Linked DNA regions of Callithrix jacchus. The protein of the gene in region 1 interacts with the protein of each later gene in a pairwise test. Links are inferred from orthologs where the notes say so. Each region holds a gene or a part of one and is shown in the gene's direction. Other genes may lie near its edges. The genes, in order: APPL2, RAB22A, RAB5C, SUV39H2 and CRADD.

Region 1 (2,842 bases):
AATAATTTAATATTTATTAATTTAAATACCATGTTAATTATTCCAACACAAGTACAATACAGTAGAAATTTATGTCTACATATCTAAAATAGCAATAAATTCTCAGTTTTTTAGGATTTATCAACTGAATTATTAGATGCTTAAAATACTGTTAAATATATTCTGAAGGCTGCACATGGGGGCTGACACCTATAATCCCAGCACTTTGGGAGGCTGAAGCAGGAACATCACCTGTGTTCAGAAGTTCGAGACAAGCCTGGTCAACATGGGGAAACCCCATCTCTGCTAAAAGTACAAAATTAGCCAGGTGTGGTGGTGCACACCTGTAATCCCAGCTACTCGGGAGGCCTGAGGCAGGAGAATCGCTTGAACCCGGGAAGCGGAGGTTGCAATGAGCCAAGATCGTGCCACTGCACTCTGGCCTGTGTGACAGAGCAAGACTGTCTCAAAATAAATAGTAAAAAATGAAAAAATATATTCTGGGATACCGGGATACCTTCTTAAACATTATTCCTCGTATACCCAAACTATGATAAGAGTTTTGTCAGAATCCCTTCACTATTCTCTCACTCCTACCCCATCTTTTTAAGAATGTAAATTTGGACTAAGTTGATCTAGCACTTCAGCGACATTAAAGTAGCCAATGGATGTTTGTTGAGAGGGAGGCTGTACATAATATAATCCGTATTATATAGCAGATCTATTCAGAGTTACAATGCCTTTTTGGGTAAGTCCCAGAATCCTATGAACTTAAATCTTCTACTTACTATGTAATCTTTCATTATAGATACCCCGAGCTTTGGCTATACAGGTTCCATAAAGGCAGAAAGGAGGACATGTCGTCACACAGAGCTGTCTCGCCTCACCCTCAATCAGGCTTTATCTCCCTCTCTTATTTGGGGGAATTTGTGTTATTTTATTCTGGACTTCTACAAACGCTTCTAGGAATACTAATCCAACATTTGTGATATAAAGTATCTTTTAAAATTTCAGGTTGATAGATCCTCAGACTCAAGTATCAAGGGCCAATGTAAGTACCTCATTCAGATTCATGTTAGTGATTATTCCTTAATTCACCTTTGTATCTACCTTAAACACAGCCTAGGCACTTAATAAAGATCTTCTACTAGTAGAATACTTTTTCTCACGACTTTTCTGTAGAGTAACTTTGTCAGTTTTTAATTCTAATAGTTGTATGATCTGTTGCCTTTCTTTTTTCCAGTTTGAACTTACCAGTGTCACACAGTTTGCTGCTCATCAAGAAAATAAGAGACTGGTTGGTTTTGTCATCCGCGTTCCTGAATCCACCGGAGAAGAATCTCTGAGTACATACATTTTCGAAAGCAACTCAGAAGGCGAAAAGGTCTTTTTCATGTGAAGATTTTGTAATATCCCAAACAAGTCCATTTTATTTATTATTTATTTATTTATTTAGGCCAGCAACTTAACGTTCTTGGAAGTCCATTTTTTTAAGTCTTCTGGCATTACAGCCTTGGCTCTTTGCTTGATTATTCTGCATGTCTCCATCCAGGAGTTCAGATAATACCGCCTAAGAAGGCCCCACTGAAAGAATACTAACTCGATTGAAATTTCTCTGTGGAAAATACCTACCAAACAGAATAGGGTGAATGAGGAAGAACTGTAATGGCAAGACATATTATTTAGTCGGGATATAAGGAAATGTTGAAAGCAGTTCCCCTCAAATTTGTACTTCAAAAAAAAATTAAGGCAAAAGCTACAATAGAGAATAATTTAGTCCCAGGGTGCAAACCAAGGAAGGAGATACCAGAAAAGTACACATAAGCTGTTTGTTTAGTACAAAAAACTTGGACTATTCTGTGACTTAGAATTTGAGGTCAGGAGATTGAGACCATCCTGACCAATATGGTGAAACCCTGTCTCTACTAAAAATACAAAAATTAGCTGGCCTTGGTGGCATGTGCCTGTAATCCTAGCTACTCAGGAGGCTGAGGCAGGGGAATCACTTGAACCAGGGAGTCGGAGGTTGCAGTGAGCCGAGATCGCACCACTGCATTCCAGCCTGGAGACAGAGCAAGACTCCGTCTCAAAAAAAATTGTCAAATACTTATTTCAGTAAGTTATCTGTTTGCCACTGTGTATATGAACATGTAGTGGCCAAATACATTTAAGAGAGGAAAAAAAAAATTCCCATTAAGAATTTTAAACACTGGAATTACCTAAGTTTCACTTACCTGGAATATTTTTTATATGGCATAAATTGGCAAGAGGTCAGGACAGTTGGACGATAATGCCCGGGCCCTATGTGATGGGCTTCCTGCAGCCAGGTCCTTTGTTTCCCATGTGAGAACAGTGAGTACAGTGACCTCACTGTACTCCCAAATCACATTTGTTCTAAAATTTTATCCTTTTCTACCTTTGCCAATCACCACTTTTCTCTTTTGCAGATATGTTATGCTATTAATTTGGGAAAAGAAATTATTGAGGTTCAGAAGGTAAGATGCATTCTGGTGCTGGTTTAGTAGCTATTTAAAATGCATCTGTGTATACATACTAAGAGTCTTTTCAAAAAGAAAGGTGATGTTCACTGGCAAGTGTGGCCAACTTTGGGATTTCCTTTTAAGTATTCTAACCACCAGACATTTTTGATCAACTGGTTCCTTCCATGTTCATTGGTAACACATGAGGACTTCTTATCACTGCTGGAGCTCCTGCTTATCTGTTTTCTTGCTTATATACTAGTTGGCTAGATTTCCTTTCTTTCAGATTAAGATGATAAGTACTCACCATAAGCTCTAAAGCCTTGCTCCTCAGAGTATGATCACAGGCCCCACAGCATTGACAGAGATCACCTGGGAGCTTT
Region 2 (3,514 bases), on another chromosome or scaffold:
TGGAAAAGGATATTGTATGCAAATAATAAACAAAAGAAACCCATGTGATTATATAATATCAATAAAATAGACATGAAAACAAGGTGGAAGGAGGACATGATAAGAATATTGAGGAACTTTCCATATTGATGGAACTATTTGACATCTTAGTAGATGGCATTCACACAGATATATACATTTGTTAGTTTATCAGATTGTACTGTTAAGATCTTTGCTTTTCTCTGAGTTTTACCTTACAAATTTGAAGGAAGAAAACACAACCCTGTAAAGGGCATTGCCAATATAAGTACATAAAAATGAAAGCTAATACTATAACCTTTATTCCATCTGTGCACTTCTGTTTCATTTTCTCTTACATTGTCGAAGTCAACCCAACACTTTATATGTTTTTTACTCAATAATATAGTTTTCTTTTCTGTGATGCTTTCTTGCTTATAATCTTTATTTTTGTTTTCTTTTCTCTAAAACTTAATGTCTCCTTTATTGGAAGTTAGTAGGCTTTCGGCCGGGCGTGGTGGCTCACGCCTATAATCCTAGCACTTTGGGAGGCCGAGGCGGGTGGATCACGAGGTCAAGAGATCGAGACCATCCTGGTCAACGAGGTGAAACCACGTCTCTACTAAAAATACAAAAATTAGCTGGGCATGGTGGCGCATGCCTGTAATCCCAGCTACTCGGGAGGGTGAGGCAGGAGAATTGCTTGAACCCAGAAGGCGGAGGTTGTGGTGAGCCGAGATCGTGCCATTGCACTCCAGTCTGGGTAACAACAGCGAAACTCCGTCTCAAAAAAAAACAAAAAGGAAGTTAGTAGGCTTTCATCCCAGAGGCAGGGGTTTCTCTCACAAAGACTGGTAACAGTTTCTGTATATGGACAGCAAGGTCTGACACTTAGTTTGACAGTTCCCCACACTCACACAGTGCTTACTCATTTGTTCACCAATTCTTGATAACCTGTAGCATGCTAGATGCTAGGCCCTGAGATAAAATGGTGTGCTCAGCAGACATACTGACACCCTGACATCCCTCATGGAGCTTACAGTCAGAATTCCACTTTCTTCTGTAAAACTCAAATTAATATGAAACTTTAAAAGCCAAAAGCTTAAACTCAGTGAATAAGGAGTTCCAGAATCCACAGTGTGTATGTGGTTTATGTATATGCACCAGATGCTCCCCCTGTAATAATGCCTGCCTGTGTTCAGGGTAAACCACCATTAACAACAGGATGCAAATACATTGGCATCAGATCATAAGTCAGAGTCAGGCTTCAGAGTCAGGATGTAAGATGAAAATTAAGTATAAGCGAAATTCTTGTCATTCAACATTGGCATCAAATTCAGTAGCTGAGATGCTCACACCAGATGTGTGCCCAAGAACTGAGGTTGACAGGGGAAAGAGCTTCACAGTCTCCATCTCACACTCATCAAGAGAAATAGCTCACTAAGTCACGCTTGTTGTTTAAATGGTTATTCCTCTCCTTTCTCTTTCCTCCCTGTTGTGTCTCATGGGGTGCAGAGGCTCGGGTGATGAATGGGAAGAAGCTGTGTGTACAGGGTTAAATTCATGTAAATGAAATGAGATCTGCACCCAGCATTTGGGAATTGCCACACATAGAGATACCAAAAAAGCAAGTCGCAAACTCATGTAACTGGTGAACATAAATGTGTACTCATTTCTGAAGGACAATCAGTGTTTAGATTACAGAGTTTTCTTCATGACACCCAAATGCAGGCACTTCTCTGGAGAACTATTTACAGCATTATTTTTATCTCCGTGATAGTTAGGGAAGCCAAAGTTGAAAGGACTATTGAACAAATGAATTTGGGAATTATAACATTGAGTTCAATTAAAATGCGTTTTTAGCTGAAACAATTGTTTATAGTGCCATATTTAATTTCAATAAAACTATATTCTAAACTATCTTCTGAGAGACATTCAGTGTTACATTAAAAGTTTTTGCCTTTGGTAATTACTGGTTCGTTTGCCTTAAAGCATGTCATTTTCTTTGGCTTAAGAGAAAGATTACCTTTTGTGCAGGGATAATGGGCTTATAAGTCTAGTAAAAAGCATATTTAACCAATTTCCCCAATTTTGTTTATTTCTCCCCCTCCTCTGCAGTTTCGTGCCTTAGCACCAATGTACTATCGAGGGTCGGCCGCAGCTATAATCGTTTATGATATCACAAAAGAAGTAAGACTATATAGTTTTCTTTAGACAGTTTTGAAAACTCTCTTTTAGTTGCTTACATCTCCAGTTGCTCTCCTTTTTTGTGTTACAGGAGACATTTTCAACATTAAAGAATTGGGTGAAAGAGCTTCGACAGCATGGCCCACCTAATATTGTAGTTGCCATTGCAGGAAATAAGTGTGATCTTATTGATGTAAGGTAAGTTATTAGAATGAGGATTACAATGCCTGTTATGTGTTCCTTTTCTTAATGAGCAATATCCAGTATAAGAATCTTGCTTTTATCTCTGACATTGAAAAATTCCTTTTGGTTATGTGGTTGGAGTCCTGAAGTTCCTAACTAAAATTAAGATTTCAAGCATTTGAAGCTCATTATATATATAGACAGGAGTGCAATTTACAGAAACACTGGTTGCATTGCGCCCAACATTGTCTGAAATCAGAGCAGCCCCCAGTCTCCCATAACTTAGAATACTTGAATGCAGAAAGCACATTTATTGACAGTTTCTCTGGGCCACTTCCATCAGTCCCAGAGCAAGGGCTTTCTGAAAATTTTGGCTGGGGAAGAAAACCCTGCCATCCCTAATCATTACATTAGCTACATTACTAGTGGTAGCAGGTTTTGTTTTGTTTTGTTTAACCGTGGATGTGGTGTAATTGGGAAGACCACATCTCAGGGCCCATTTGGCAGTCATTCAGGACATCCTTTGTCATCATAAATCTGGTTAACTACTGGCTAGGTGGGGATAAAACCAAGATCTTCATGGGTAGAATTTCTGATATGCAGTTGTTGCCTTCCAGAGAAGTCATGGAGAGAGATGCAAAGGACTACGCCGACTCTATTCATGCAATTTTTGTAGAGACCAGCGCAAAAAACGCGATAAACATAAATGAACTCTTTATAGAAATTAGTGAGTATCTCTGTGCCTTATCCATTTCCTTTGTAAAAGCAACTTAACACAGAATGATCTTTCTGGTTAGAATTCCCATCTTACTTAGAGCAATCTAGTCTCTGATACTGTGCTCAATGGAATGAGATTGGAGAAGGTAAGAGTGATGGCCAGTTTTTATATCATGTTACAGTTCCTGCAGAGCTGCTGCCCTTCTAGAAAGAATGTTGCTACTGAATAAATAATGTACAGGGCATAGAGATCATGAAAGCTGTCCATTTCTTTCTCTATTTAAATGTGTTTCAGTTAGTCATCCAAGGTGATTGAAAGTGAACAAACTAAAGGGAAATGAAATGCAGATATAATTCCACTGTAAGAAAACCCTCAAAAAATAATGCTAGGCAAGTGAAAGGTAAGGCCTGTTTTCCCCCTTACCGTTCC
Region 3 (4,104 bases), on another chromosome or scaffold:
GTTGGCCAGTACTAGAGGCACAATGGTCACAGCTGTCTCCAGTGAGCTTTGATTCTACACAGGTTTTCAGTAGTGTCCCTGGAGGGTAACATGCAAAGGAAGAGGAGGTACTAGTCTGTGTTGAGAGGTAAGGGTGGGCGGAATCAGGAGCTGGCCGGATCCATATTCAGAGGAGCAGAAGAAACAAATAGTCCTGATCCATATGGGGAGGGGCAGAGTGGGGGTGGTTCTAGTCTTTATTTTCAGATGGAGAGGTCCGAGCCAGAGGTTATCCAGCTCTACATTCCGCGTCAGAGAGAAGAGCTGACCCTGGCTGGGAGCAGGGGAAGGCAGAGGCGGAGATGGTCTTTGCGCCGGCCCCCCCCCCGACACACCAAGTAGGGGGTGGTGGCAGAAGCTCTCCCTTTGATCTCACTCAGCATCCTGCAGAGAACCTTTCCTACAGCCTTTCATCGCTTTCATCGCCTTCCCCATCACAGAGGCCCCCAGCAATCGGGCTTCCCAAGCTGACTTGGCCGGAAAGCGCAGACAGGGGCTGCTCCAGATCAGCGAGTTCACAGGACTGGTCCACGCAGCCTCGCGTGCATATTCATTCGCACCATGTTTTTCCTTTTCCAATTCTGCACACACAGTCCTCTGCCTTCTTCCAACTCTCCGCCACTCGCCTTCCCTCGGGCGTCCGGAACCGGCGGTGACGCGGGTGGCAGGCTTGGCCTTAAAAAGTTCCCGGCCGTAGGCCGGGCACGGTGGCTCTGGCCTGTAATCTCAGCACTTTGGGAGGCCGAAGAAGGCGGATCACCCGAGGTTGGGAGTTCAAGACCAGTCTGGCCAAGATGGTGAAACCCCGTCTCTACAAAACATACAAAATTAGCCGAGCGTGGTGGTGCATGACTTTAATCCCAGCTACTCGGGAGGCTGAGGCAGGAGAATCGCTTGAACCCGGGAGGCGGAGGTTGCAGTGAGCCGAGATCGCGCCACTGCATTCCAGCCTGGGAGACAGACTGAGACTCCTCACAAAAAAATAATAATTCCCGGCCGGGCTCCGCCTCGCAGTCAGCCGGCTCCACCCTAAGCCCAAATCCCAGGCAGCCGCCAACTCCTCCCAGCGCTGCGAACTACAAGTCCCGCCATCCTTCGCGCGCGCCCTCCAACCACTCCCGCGTTTCTACCGGAGCCGCTGGATAGGTCGGCCAAGAGTGCCTTCCATTAGTCCCTCTACCCTGTCAATCACCTGGGTAGTATTGAGGGGCGGGACGGAGGTGGAGATCCGGATCCGGAGCGGCTGAAAGGCGGAAGTGGAGGCCGGAGCCTGGGACACCGCCGGGGGGGGGGGAGAGAAGCGAAGCCTGTCCGAGTCCCGGCCCCAAGTAACGCTGCCGTCCCGGAGCCGCCGTGAGTATGCCTGTCCCCGAACCTGGTGTCTCGCCTGCGTTGAAGCATCTCCAGGGCAGCCCTTACTCACCACCCAGCCCGTTTAGGGGGATAATGACCCCTCCCCCGACCCGTAGCCTCCTCCTAAGGGGTTCCCCAGGCGTCGGGCCAAAGGAGCGGGGGAGCTTCTTTCTTTAGCTTACCTGCCTTTCGTGAGCCTTAAGGAAACTCCTATGACTGTTCTCTGGCCTGTCCATTCCAGTTGTGGGAGAGAGGAACCCTAAGTTCCGCTCGCCTTGCTCCCAGAATCGAAGGATCTTTGCCAGGTGTGAAGGAACCTGTCCTTCTTGTCTTTTAGAAGTGACAGGGAGTGCTGTCTGTCGCCGTTTTCCTTCCTCCTGTCCCACGAAACCAGTTGTCCCCTCCAGCCCTAGAGGAATATGTCGATTTCCTATGGGGGAGGGGGTCGTCTGGGTGAGACCGTTCCACACGCACAGAAGTGTATTTGCGCTTCCACAACTCCTTACTTCCCTCTTTCCTCAAGCCAGAAAACCAACCAGGACCTCAGTTAAAAGTCTGGGTCATTTAGTAGGAATGAGATGTTTTCTTGCTTTGCCCCTTCTGTCTCCCTGCCCTATTCTCTAGTTATGTTGTTCTCTGAGTGTCTCTCTCTTTCTGCCCCTGAAGAATTTAGCTGAGGTTTGCTCAATCCTAGCTACAGATCACAGATCAGGGTGGATATGCCCATTCATTATCTTCTCTCCCCTCCCCCCTTGCTCCAGGCTCAGCTCTGTCCTCCCAGAGCACGTGAGTAGTTTTCAAGCCTCCTCAAAGGGACTGCTTCTCCCGGGACTGCTGTCCGTGTGTCTATAGGCAGGAGAATAAGACCCAAAATGAGGAGTCTGGAGTTGAAGAATTATCTCTTTCCCACTTCCAGACACACACACATAAACCACCCTGAGCAACAGGTCCACACCGCGCTGGTATCTAATCCCTTCTGGGCTTGGACTTATTACTGAGGACTAAGTCAAGATCCCACTGGCAGTTCTGGGGTCTGAATTGTAGCCTGAAGAATTCCCACACATGCCAGAAAATGCTGGTTCCCTCAACCGTATGGACTGTTGCTTGGGGCTTAGGTGTGTGAAATAGCTGCTGTCTCTGACCAAGCTTTGTTATGTGGCCAAAGTACAGGCCCGAGACTGTACCTTAATGAGGAGTAGCCTGTCTCTGAGGCCGTGACTGACCCTTGCTATCTACAGTGGATATGTAGATAGCAAGTGGGATAGATAGTGGGAATGTCTGTAGCTCTTCAGTTTTCTGAGCTACCTTTACCACCCTCTCGTGCTGCTTAAAAGTGCTGTTTTTTGGTATTGAGGTGTTTTTGAGTACTTCTGGACAGTCACTAGTGTCTGATTTCTCCAGTCTTGTGAGTAGACCTAGGACTTATTTCACCTTCCCCCAGCGCCCCCACTTCCCCCCTGCTGGAGTGCATTGGCCCCATCTCAGCTCACTGCAACCTCCACTTCCCAGGTTTAAGCAAATCTCTGCCTCAGCCTCCCGAGTAGCTGGGATTACAGGCGCATGCCATCATACCGGCTAACTTTGTATTTTTAGTAGAGACAGGGTTTCACCATGTTGGCCAGACTGGTCTTGAACTCCTGACCTCATGATCCGCCTGCCTTGGCCTCCAAAAGTGCTGGGAGTACAGGTGTGAGCCACCGCACCCAGCCTACTTATTTCACTTTTTATTGGACAACAGAAGCCTTCCTTATTAGGGTCAACAGCTGGATCACAAGCTCTTTATCTGTGTGGGTTCCTTGGGGGCTCATTGGAGACTTCTTCAGCCAATCTAGTTTTTCTGATCTGGGCAGCCTGGGCATCTGAGGGGCAGGGTCAGAGAGGCCTGACTGCTCACTGGCCATTGGTCTCTGACCAGACTTACGTCTTCAGGAGTGGACCATGGTTTGTCAGTCTTCAGGAGTCCTGGGATGAGACTGACCAGCCTTCTGAGGAGACCTTTTTTCCTTTGTCTGGACATGCTCTTCCAGCTCTGACTCTGAAACAATTTTTTTTGGTTTGTTTTTCTTTTGAGATGGAGTCTTGCTCTGTCACCGAGGCTGGAGCGTGGTGGCATGATCTCTGCTCACTGCAACCTCCACCTCCTGAGTTCAAGGGCTTCTCCTGCCTGAGCCTCCCAAGTAGCTGGGACTACAGGAGCGTGCCACCACGCCAGGCTAATTTTTGTATTTTTAGTAGAGATGGGGTTTCGCCATATTCGCCAGGCTGGTCTCGAATTCCTGACCTCAGGTGATCCACTCGCCTCAGCCTCCCAAAGTCCCGGGATGACAGGTGTGAGCCACTGCACCCGGCCTGAAATGACTTTTGAAGGGGAAGCTCGGCCATTTAGACAGACGAGGAAGGCCCCAGTGCTTTGGGAGAGAATGCAGCTGCTTCTGGCATCCAGAAATTATAGTCCAAGCAGAGGTCTGACTGCTTGGCAGAAAGCTATGGCTCTGTGTGTGACAGAAACCCCTCCTTTCTGATGCTGTTCCTCTCCTGCCCTCTTGCCTCTCATGATTAGTGGGCTGTTAAACTGTAGAGGGGCAATAACACTAATTTTTAAAAATCATTTTAAAGTTACAAAGTTATTTTCATACATATTCCTCACAGGTACCCTGGGAATAGTGGGGTTTGTTTCCCCACTTGTTTTTAATTTTTGTTACTTTTTTCTTT
Region 4 (3,977 bases), on another chromosome or scaffold:
TTCATGAACATCTTTTTAAGACGGCTAGACAATATTTTATAATGGAATCAAATCATCCATTTCTTTAATGGTCTGCGTTTATTTCTAGTATTTCGAATTTATACATACTGCTTTGAAACGTTTATGTAATTTTTTACATTATTTTTTTAAGTCCTTAGTAGATATCAAATGGCTTTCTGCCAGTTTTCGCTATTTGCTCTAAGATTTCTGCTTTAGGTTGTTTAGAACAATCATAGGAGGCGGCGTCAAGACCGGGGGGCGGGGGTGGAGACCAGGTGGAAGTCGTCCTTCTCCCGGCCGCTACCCGCCAGCAGGCCGAACTCAGGAGCTTAACAACACCGGAGCTCGGGTCCCCTCACAGACCTACCCAATCCCAGTGCATTAAAGTTGAGCCCAGGAGGTCGAGACCGCAGTGAGCCGTAACTGCGCCACTGCACTCCAGGCTGGGTGACAGAGTGAGAGCCTGTCTCAAAACATTCCAAGTCCAGCTCCCTGACCCCCGACGATCCGTAAGCCCCTTTAAGTGTGAGAAGCACTGCTTGAGACTGCTGGTTTCCGCTGTGCCACACATTAGGATCGGCTGGGAGCTGGCAGCACTCGCTGCCCGGGCCACACCTCACACCAACCAGTCGGAACCCCGGCGACGGGACCAAGCCAGCGGAACCGCTCCAGCCATGCCCACGAGCAGCCGCTTCCGAGGCCCGGTGCTCTAGGGGAGTGGTGTCGGGGGAACCCGACCATGATCGGCTGGGCTGCGGGCCGCGGAACCGGACTCGGCGGGCAGCGTCCCCGATTGCCTAGGTCCGCGCTGTCCTTGTCGGATCTCGTAGTGTGCGCGTGCTGCCGATGTAAGACGTCTCCAAAGCGCAGCGCGGGAAGGCCTGACTGACGTCCTCCCTCGTGAAGGCGCCTAACTGGCCGGGAGAAAGGAAAGGGCGCCGGACAGCACCCAGGGTCAGGGAGCCCGCGCGCTCGCCCCGCCCTGCTCCACGAGCTTGAGGCGCAGGCGCGCTGGCCGCCACGGCGGGGGCGGGGGTCAGCCTCCCTGACGTCAGGACGCCGTGCGGGTTCCATCTCCCCCCCACCAAACCCCGGCCCCCAAGTCCCGCGCGGGCCGGCCAGGGGCGGGGCGTCGGGCCAGCTGAGCTATCCCGTCAGACCGCGCCAGTTTGAATGAAAGCTCCACAAGATGGCGGCGGTCGGGGCTGAGGCGCGAGGAGGTGAGGCTGGAGCGCGGCCCCCTCGCCCTCCCCATTCCCAGGCATGCTCCCGAGGCCCGGGCGGCGAGGCGGTCCTGCGGGCCAGCCAGACTGTGATGTGGCGGGTACCTGCCCGCCGCGCCCCCGACTCCGGGACGCATGCTGAGGGCGCCTATCCTCCCCCAGGCCGCTGACCCGCCTCCCTGCCCCGCCGGCTTCCGCCGCGGAGGTGGGCACCTCGCGAGCCCGAGGCGCTCCGGCTGCGGAGCGTGGCCTCGCCGCCCGCTCGGTCTGGCCCCCTCTGCGTCGCCTGTGGCGGCTTTGGGCGTCGCGGCCGGTCCCCAGCTGGAGGTCTGGGGGTCCCGGCTACGACTGGCTCCTTTGTGGTGGTTCGAGCGGGGCGTGCGGCGTGCGCCCCAGCCTTTGAAGTGGGAGGCGGGAAGCGACGCCCGCCGCGGTGAACAGGACCTTAATATCAGAGGGGGAGAGGAAGTCGGGGCGCCTGTGTGCTAAGACAGGGAATAAGCGAGGAACCCCCCCCCAAGGCGGACACGCTAGGAGGTTGAGTGCCTCGTTGGAGATTCGCCCAGAAAGTGGGTATTTGAGGTTGCACCCTCTGGTTTACGGTAACTCTTCCACCCACCGGGAGCTTGGCGTTATTTCTGTGGACGCTGGGGAATTGGGCACCGAGCGCGCGTGGGTGTGGGTGTGGGTGTGGGCGTGGGGGGATGTCGGTGTCGCGCGCGCTTCGAGAACCTGGAACTTTTCAGTGCGTTGTGGAATGTAAAGGTGTTTGCAAGCCCGCCTCCTCTCCGCTTGGGTTATGACCTCATTATCCCTGAATTTTTCTTCCTTGGAGAATGGCAGTGGTGACTGAAGTAGCGGAACGTGTTTGTGGTGGTCATGAACTATTTAATTTTGTCGATGAAATCTTTTTCTACCTTCCTAGAGACTGTTGAGAGACGGTCGGGTTTTTTTAACCACGTGATTGCAGTTTTTTATGTTCACTTAAAAAAAAAAAATTCCCAAAGAGCGTTTCCGTTGCGAATTGTGTTTTGAACCTACGATCTGCGTAATGAGGTCAACTTTACACAAAACATCGTCTGGTTTTTTTGTTTGTTTTTGGTTTTAGGTGGAAGGGACTTACTGGGTCATTTCTCTCCCATCTCTGTCCTACCCCCAAACGACCACTCCAAAGCAATCAGCCTCTTCCCCCACATTTTCTGGGGGAAAATACCTTTCTCTTTATTGCTTTAGGATTGAGTCGTTTGCAGCCAGTGAGATGGTGGAAATTATGCTTAAGGGTTTCCGACACTGAAGTGTCTGTGTGAGGTGGGGAAGATGAGGAAAGGGGCAGGAAAGTTGCCTCTGACAAGTGTTCTCACTTCCCTGAAATTACCTCAAAACACAAAAGGTTATGCCAGCTACCTTGGAGAGCTACCAAGTGAAGCTTGAGCTTACTGATAGATTTTGTTTCGTAACGCCAATTTTCTCCATTTTTTTCCAGTGAATCTGACAGCCAGAAAGATTGAGACCTCACTAAAGTCACAGCTCGGTGGCCGAGTGATGGATTAGGGCAGAGAACTTTTGATCCTGTCTAGCACTTACCATGACACTAGCGCTAACACCAAATTTGTCCCATTTTCCTAAACGTGTTTGTTAATTTATACTTTAAATTCGGTGTTGTAGCTTGCTGCTTACAGAAATATGGGGGTCACATCTTCTGCAACACAATTAGTTTCTGGCTCTTGGAGGGTTGCTGATGATTATGTCTAATTTTCTTTGAGTTTGGTACATGGCTTATGTAAATTGAACAGTGTTTTAAAAGTTTGGCTTTAAAAACAATACAGTCAGTAAGTATTACAAAAAAATCGATATACTCTCCTTTTTTAAAATAACTCTTGAGTTTATTCACCTTGGTGACAATTTATTGCAGTATGAGTAAAATAAGTGGAATTAAAACGTCAAGCAGCATTTCAAAGAGAAAACTAGCATATAATGATAGGAGTTTGTAACTGTAGAAATATATTTTAGATTTCAGTTCATATTGTCCAGTTAAAAAAAATGAAAGTTACCTGTTAACAAATTATAAGACTGTTTTAAAGTATTTTAGGTGTGTTTTTAAGAATATGTGTCCTAGAGATTTACATTTTATTAAAATAGTAATTCTAGTCTTTGTAGAATACAGTGCAAGTAAAAAACATTACTTCTGTTGACCTGCATCTGTATATAATCTTAAGAAAGCTTATGGATATGAAACCTTTTCAGGTAACTTAATGGAAATTGCCTGATGTCAGTTAAACATAGTAGAATAGAAATCCATGAGAAAACCCAAGAACACCAGTTTAACAAAAGTTCCTTAATGTTTAACATTTTCTTGAAGACACGTAATTGGATTCTTGTCATAGGAATTTTTAGTCTAAAATTTCCTGTTGAAAGGTGGGCAATAGAGGTTTTAAGTTTCTCTTTTTTGTTTTAATTGAGTAGCTATTTCATTAGTAAAGAATTCTATTTTCTTATTGTAGCTTGGTGTGTGCCTTGCCTAGTTTCACTTGATACTCTTCAGGAATTATGTAGAAAAGAAAAGCTCACATGTAAATCCATTGGAATCACCAAAAGGAATCTAAACAATTATGAGGTGGAATACTTGTGTGACTACAAGGTAGTAAAGGTAAGGCAAATATCTAGCCCCTTACAAGAGACCTAATCAGACTTCAGTATTTCATTTTTCTGTAACATAAAAAGAACCTTAAGAGTAAGAAAAACTCTTCTTCATGT
Region 5 (4,309 bases), about 11 Mb from region 1:
ACTTATACAAATCTAGATGGTATAGCCTACTACATACTTAGGCCATAGAGCATAGCCTATTGCTCTTAACATTGTCATATATGGAGTCTGTTATTGACCCAAATGTTGTTATGCAATGAATGACTGTAGTAATACTCGCTACTTAGTAAAAATACCGTCATTAATGGTGTAGTAAAATGGTAACTGGCATAGTAACACTGTAAATTGAATACAATTTTAGAAGGTTTTGAGGAGGGAGGTTCAGAACTGTTCTCCATTGATTTGCTTACAAAGACATTTTCATTTTCCACCAAAGGTTTTAGCTGTGAAAACTTTGGCAGAAATAATATTTTAGGAGTTTTTCCCCCTGTACTGTCAACTAAGTTTTAGTAAGCACATGACTTTCCATTTGTATCATCCAACTGATTTTAAAATGAATCAATGAATGTATTTATTGACTGACTGGCCCACTTCACAAAGGAATGTGAGGAAGGACACTCAATTTGACATCCCTGTGTTTCTCTATATTTGGGTCATGCATTTTGTCTTGCTTTCCAAATTGAAAATGTGGTGGATGCAGTAGATTGGCCTTTAGTATCAGCCCTTCCCTCATTTAGTATACCTTTTCCTGTTTCACAAGCTGGAAAGCTACACGCTCTAGACATCCTTGCTGCTAATATTCTGCATGTGAAATTGGTCTCACCAATTGCACACAACAGAGCAAGATTTGCAGGTGCTGTTTTCATGCTGCTAGCAAATGCAGCTGTCGAGACCACGGTGTTTTGCAGCAGTGTTCCAGTGTCCTGTTGATTGTTCTGTCGGGTGTTGAAAGGAAGCTGGGGACAAGAAATGCCAACTTCCTGACGCCATCTTCCTGATTGTGGGCAGGAACCAGTATGGCACTCTTCTCCAGGTAGTCATCCGTGGATATTCAGCCTTTCTCCAGCCTTTCCAATGATCTCTAATGTCTCCAATCCCCACTGACAAATCCCTTTCTGACTAGGAGTAACTAACTAGCTGAGTGCTGCAATGAAATCCTGACCGACAGATTTGTAAGCTCTTCTTGGGCAGGAACCCTCGATATAAAGCAATGAACTTGCCTTTTAATGGAGTGAAGCCGAGGGATAAACAAATAAGTGAAAAGTTTTAGTAAGATGGTGATATGTAAAAAGTAAAGTTGGTTAAGACAATGGGGAGTGCAGGAGATGAGGTGTTGCCGTTTTAATCAGATAGGTCAGAGAAGGCTTCCTCCTAGGGTGATTTTTGGCCTGACTCTTTGGCATGTCAATTGTGTGCAAGGCCCTGGTGGAGTTACCGTGTTAAAATGCAAATATCCAATTACTCCATTACTTAGATATCCTCTAAGTGATGCTACTGTTGTCCAGCTCCCCGCGATTGAATGTTTACCCATAGTAAACATGGCGGGAAGAGCTTCAATCCGACCCTCGAACGCTCAATAAAAATGGCGACGGCACTTCCTGTGCTTGCCCTCAACAAAGATGGCGTCAACACTTCCTGTTTAAGGTTTTCGCCTTTAACAAAGATGGTGCTTACGATGCAGGTTCCCTAACAATCAGGATTCCGGTTGCAGTTTTTCTCCCCCGCCCCAAAGATACGTGGTTGCAGACGTAAGTAACAGGAATCCATCTTTTCTTGAAAGTCCTGCACTGTAGCATCTGCGACCTGGGCCTGCGGGGGCTTCCCCGCCCCCCAACTTGCTCCCCATTTCCGATCCGGGCCAAGGCTGGGTGGCTGCGGCAGTGCCGGAGGCCCGCTCTCCCCTTGGTCAGCTCTTAAGTTTATTCCCAGCACTCCCTCTTTAGCGGGTCGAGTTGCCACAGAAACCGCCCATAGTTCTTCCTGTTGATAGAAGGGTTTCAGCGGCCGAGGCCGAGAATTTTTTAAAAAGTTACCAATGGGCGCTCACGGCCAAATGTGAACACCTCCCTTCTTCACCTGTCACCTCCCGAACTTCACAGGGTTGCGAGGGGGAGTGTGGGATTGGGTGTCGCCCAGCAGTAGTACTGCCTGGGGGTGTCTGAAGCCGCATCTGTCATCCCTACCTCCCTTCCCTGTCATTTATTCTTCACTGCCTTACACACAACCAAGCCACAGCACACTGGTGCAGCGGTGGTGGAACTGCACCTTCAACTCGTGCCTGACTACTGACCAGTGCTGGATGTGAGCTTTTTTTTAAAGAAAAAAAAAATCCCATAAAATGTCCCATGCAGGTGTGGCCACGATAATGTGCTACAGATTCTGAATTCTTAGTGGGAAGGAATGGAGTTTGTGACTGTATATTGTGTAAGTTTTATTGTAGACTGGGCACAAAACAACCTTTTTCTTGAGGGTGATAGTGTAGAGGACTTTAAGCAAAAAGAGCCTTAAACTCTGTACCTGCTGCTGATTTCTGTCCTGCACTCCTATTACTGATCAGGTTTTGCAAATACTTGCGGTCAAAAGGGCACCTGCGTCCAGTGTGGCAGTTTTTGCCATGGTGGTGGTGCAGGTCTGATGAGGGCAATGTTAAAAACACCATTTCTTCCCCAGCTTGTTAAAACTAATGGTGCTCTGTGATCTTCAGATAAAAAGTGCTTTTTCAGAAGGGTCTCTGACCCACTTTTTTTTTTCTTCTTTTTCTAAATTTCTTTATTGATTGAGCCGGGACCCCATTGTGCTAAAAGCAGAAACAGAAAAGATGATTCATTTTCGGTGTTGTTCATTATGTTAGGAAACGTTCAAAATTAACTTGGCTTCACCCGTGTATTAAATATGGCACTCTGCTACGGTCTGAAGATATGCCTGACCTGAAGGAACTTACATTTCATGTCTGTAATTTGAGCTGTGATTTCGGCTTTTTCCAGGGAGAAATGGAGGCCAGAGACAAACAAGTGCTCCGCTCACTTCGCCTGGAGCTGGGTGCAGAGGTATTGGTGGAGGGACTGGTTCTTCAGTACCTCTACCAGGAAGGAGTCTTGACGGAAAACCATGTTCAAGAAATCAATGCTCAAACCACAGGCCTCCGGAAAACAATGCTGCTGCTGGACATCCTACCTTCCAGGGGCCCTAAAGCATTCGATACATTCCTAGATTCCCTACAGGAATTTCCCTGGGTCAGGGAGAAGCTGAAGAAGGCAAGGGAAGAAGCCATGACCAGCCTGCCTGCAGGTAGGGCTCAGAAAGATCACTTCGAAGCAGCTCCAAAACGTTGGAACTATGCCCTTTGGTTTTGTGTTTGTTGGTTGGTTTGTTTTTGAGACAGTCTCGCTCTGTTGCCTAGGCTGGAGTGCAATGGCATGATCTCAGCTCAGGGCAACCTCCACTTCCTGGGTTCAAGCAGTTCTCATGCCTCAGCCTCCTAAGTAGCTGGGAATACAGGCATGTGCCATTGTGCCTGGGCCAATTTTTGTATTTTTAGTAGAAATGGGGTTTCATTATGTTGGCAAGGCTGATCTTGAACTCCTGACCTCAGGTGATCCACCCACCGCAGGCTCCCAAAGTGCTGGGATTACAGGCATGATCCACCATGCCTGGCCAGAACTATGCCCTTCATATTTGAAGTTGAGATGTAAGGCAGGACAAGGGTCAGCAGTTGATGAAAGTGGGTAAGGAGTTGGGACTGAAGGGACATGATATTGGAGGCATAGGATCAAGAGGTGGCATTAGGAAATGGTGGGAAGGAAGAATGAACCGTGACTGGGAGGTGAAGGAGGGGGGCTCAGAGAATGCATTTAGAAATGCTTCCAGGGAAACCTGGCATGTCACTTGGGAAGCATGTTCCCATCAGAGAGCCAGGTCATATCTCAGCCGTTGGCATCAGGAGCCATTTGGAAAGCGCAGATGGAAAGCAGGCATTCGGCCTACTGACAACTGATTTGTGAGGTGCCAGAGCTACCAGCTGGAAAAGGTCAGATTCATGGAGGAGGAGATAGCCTCTAGGAAGGCATGTCCTGCACCTGTCCCCTGGGCTGTCCTGTGTGGCCAAAGGGGATTATGTTGAAGGCTGACTTGGTTTGTTTTGAAAGGTTATTCGTTTAAAGTGTCCTTTTTAGTTTAGCTTAGTTCAGACAACTGGAGTATTTAATTTTATGGAAAGCAATAGTTTGGGGAGGGTCTCAGTTTGATCTGAAGGAGAATTAGAAGCTGGAGAAGAGAGAAACAGTTCTGGTTCTGTTAGCCTGGCTTATAGCAGGAAGAATACATGATATAGAAACACTTGCTTTTTCTTAACCTCCCTTGGCTCTGTTTTACAAAGATGAAGGAGCAGAGAACTGAACTTAAACATTGAAAAAAAGAGTAATTGAAAGTTGACTTGCACGTTTTTAACAAA

What was found.
Region 2: the proteins of APPL2 (region 1) and RAB22A interact in binary tests that used the Homo sapiens proteins (3 or more experiments, as listed by UniProt). The two-hybrid records come from large-scale screens. The link is inferred for Callithrix jacchus from reciprocal best matches to the Homo sapiens genes APPL2 and RAB22A.
Region 3: the proteins of APPL2 (region 1) and RAB5C interact in binary tests that used the Homo sapiens proteins (3 or more experiments, as listed by UniProt). The two-hybrid records come from large-scale screens. The link is inferred for Callithrix jacchus from reciprocal best matches to the Homo sapiens genes APPL2 and RAB5C.
Region 4: the proteins of APPL2 (region 1) and SUV39H2 interact in binary tests that used the Homo sapiens proteins (3 or more experiments, as listed by UniProt). The link is inferred for Callithrix jacchus from reciprocal best matches to the Homo sapiens genes APPL2 and SUV39H2.
Region 5: the proteins of APPL2 (region 1) and CRADD interact in binary tests that used the Homo sapiens proteins (3 or more experiments, as listed by UniProt). The two-hybrid records come from large-scale screens. The link is inferred for Callithrix jacchus from reciprocal best matches to the Homo sapiens genes APPL2 and CRADD.

What each region holds. Positions count from the first base shown.
Region 1 is NC_133510.1:108,124,418-108,127,259, reverse strand, and holds part of APPL2 (DCC-interacting protein 13-beta), read left to right. Parts: intron 1-993; coding exon 994-1,030; intron 1,031-1,222; coding exon 1,223-1,363; intron 1,364-2,426; coding exon 2,427-2,474; intron 2,475-2,842. UniProt on the Homo sapiens protein: Multifunctional adapter protein that binds to various membrane receptors, nuclear factors and signaling proteins to regulate many processes, such as cell proliferation, immune response, endosomal trafficking and cell metabolism.
Region 2 is NC_133506.1:53,939,668-53,943,181, forward strand, and holds part of RAB22A (ras-related protein Rab-22A), read left to right. Parts: intron 1-2,115; coding exon 2,116-2,187; intron 2,188-2,275; coding exon 2,276-2,382; intron 2,383-2,984; coding exon 2,985-3,094; intron 3,095-3,514. UniProt on the Homo sapiens protein: Plays a role in endocytosis and intracellular protein transport. Mediates trafficking of TF from early endosomes to recycling endosomes. Required for NGF-mediated endocytosis of NTRK1, and subsequent neurite outgrowth.
Region 3 is NC_133506.1:121,574,356-121,578,459, reverse strand, and holds the start of RAB5C (ras-related protein Rab-5C), read left to right. Parts: upstream 1-1,291; 5' UTR 1,292-1,392; intron 1,393-1,574; exon of another isoform or gene 1,575-2,034; intron 2,035-4,104. UniProt on the Homo sapiens protein: The small GTPases Rab are key regulators of intracellular membrane trafficking, from the formation of transport vesicles to their fusion with membranes.
Region 4 is NC_133508.1:15,823,574-15,827,550, forward strand, and holds the start of SUV39H2 (histone-lysine N-methyltransferase SUV39H2), read left to right. Parts: upstream 1-1,166; 5' UTR 1,167-1,189; coding exon 1,190-1,220; exon of another isoform or gene 1,221-1,792; intron 1,793-3,724; coding exon 3,725-3,870; intron 3,871-3,977. UniProt on the Homo sapiens protein: Histone methyltransferase that specifically trimethylates 'Lys-9' of histone H3 using monomethylated H3 'Lys-9' as substrate.
Region 5 is NC_133510.1:96,740,121-96,744,429, forward strand, and holds the start of CRADD (death domain-containing protein CRADD), read left to right. Parts: upstream 1-1,509; 5' UTR 1,510-1,764; intron 1,765-1,999; exon of another isoform or gene 2,000-2,160; intron 2,161-2,843; 5' UTR 2,844-2,849; coding exon 2,850-3,147; intron 3,148-4,309. UniProt on the Homo sapiens protein: Adapter protein that associates with PIDD1 and the caspase CASP2 to form the PIDDosome, a complex that activates CASP2 and triggers apoptosis.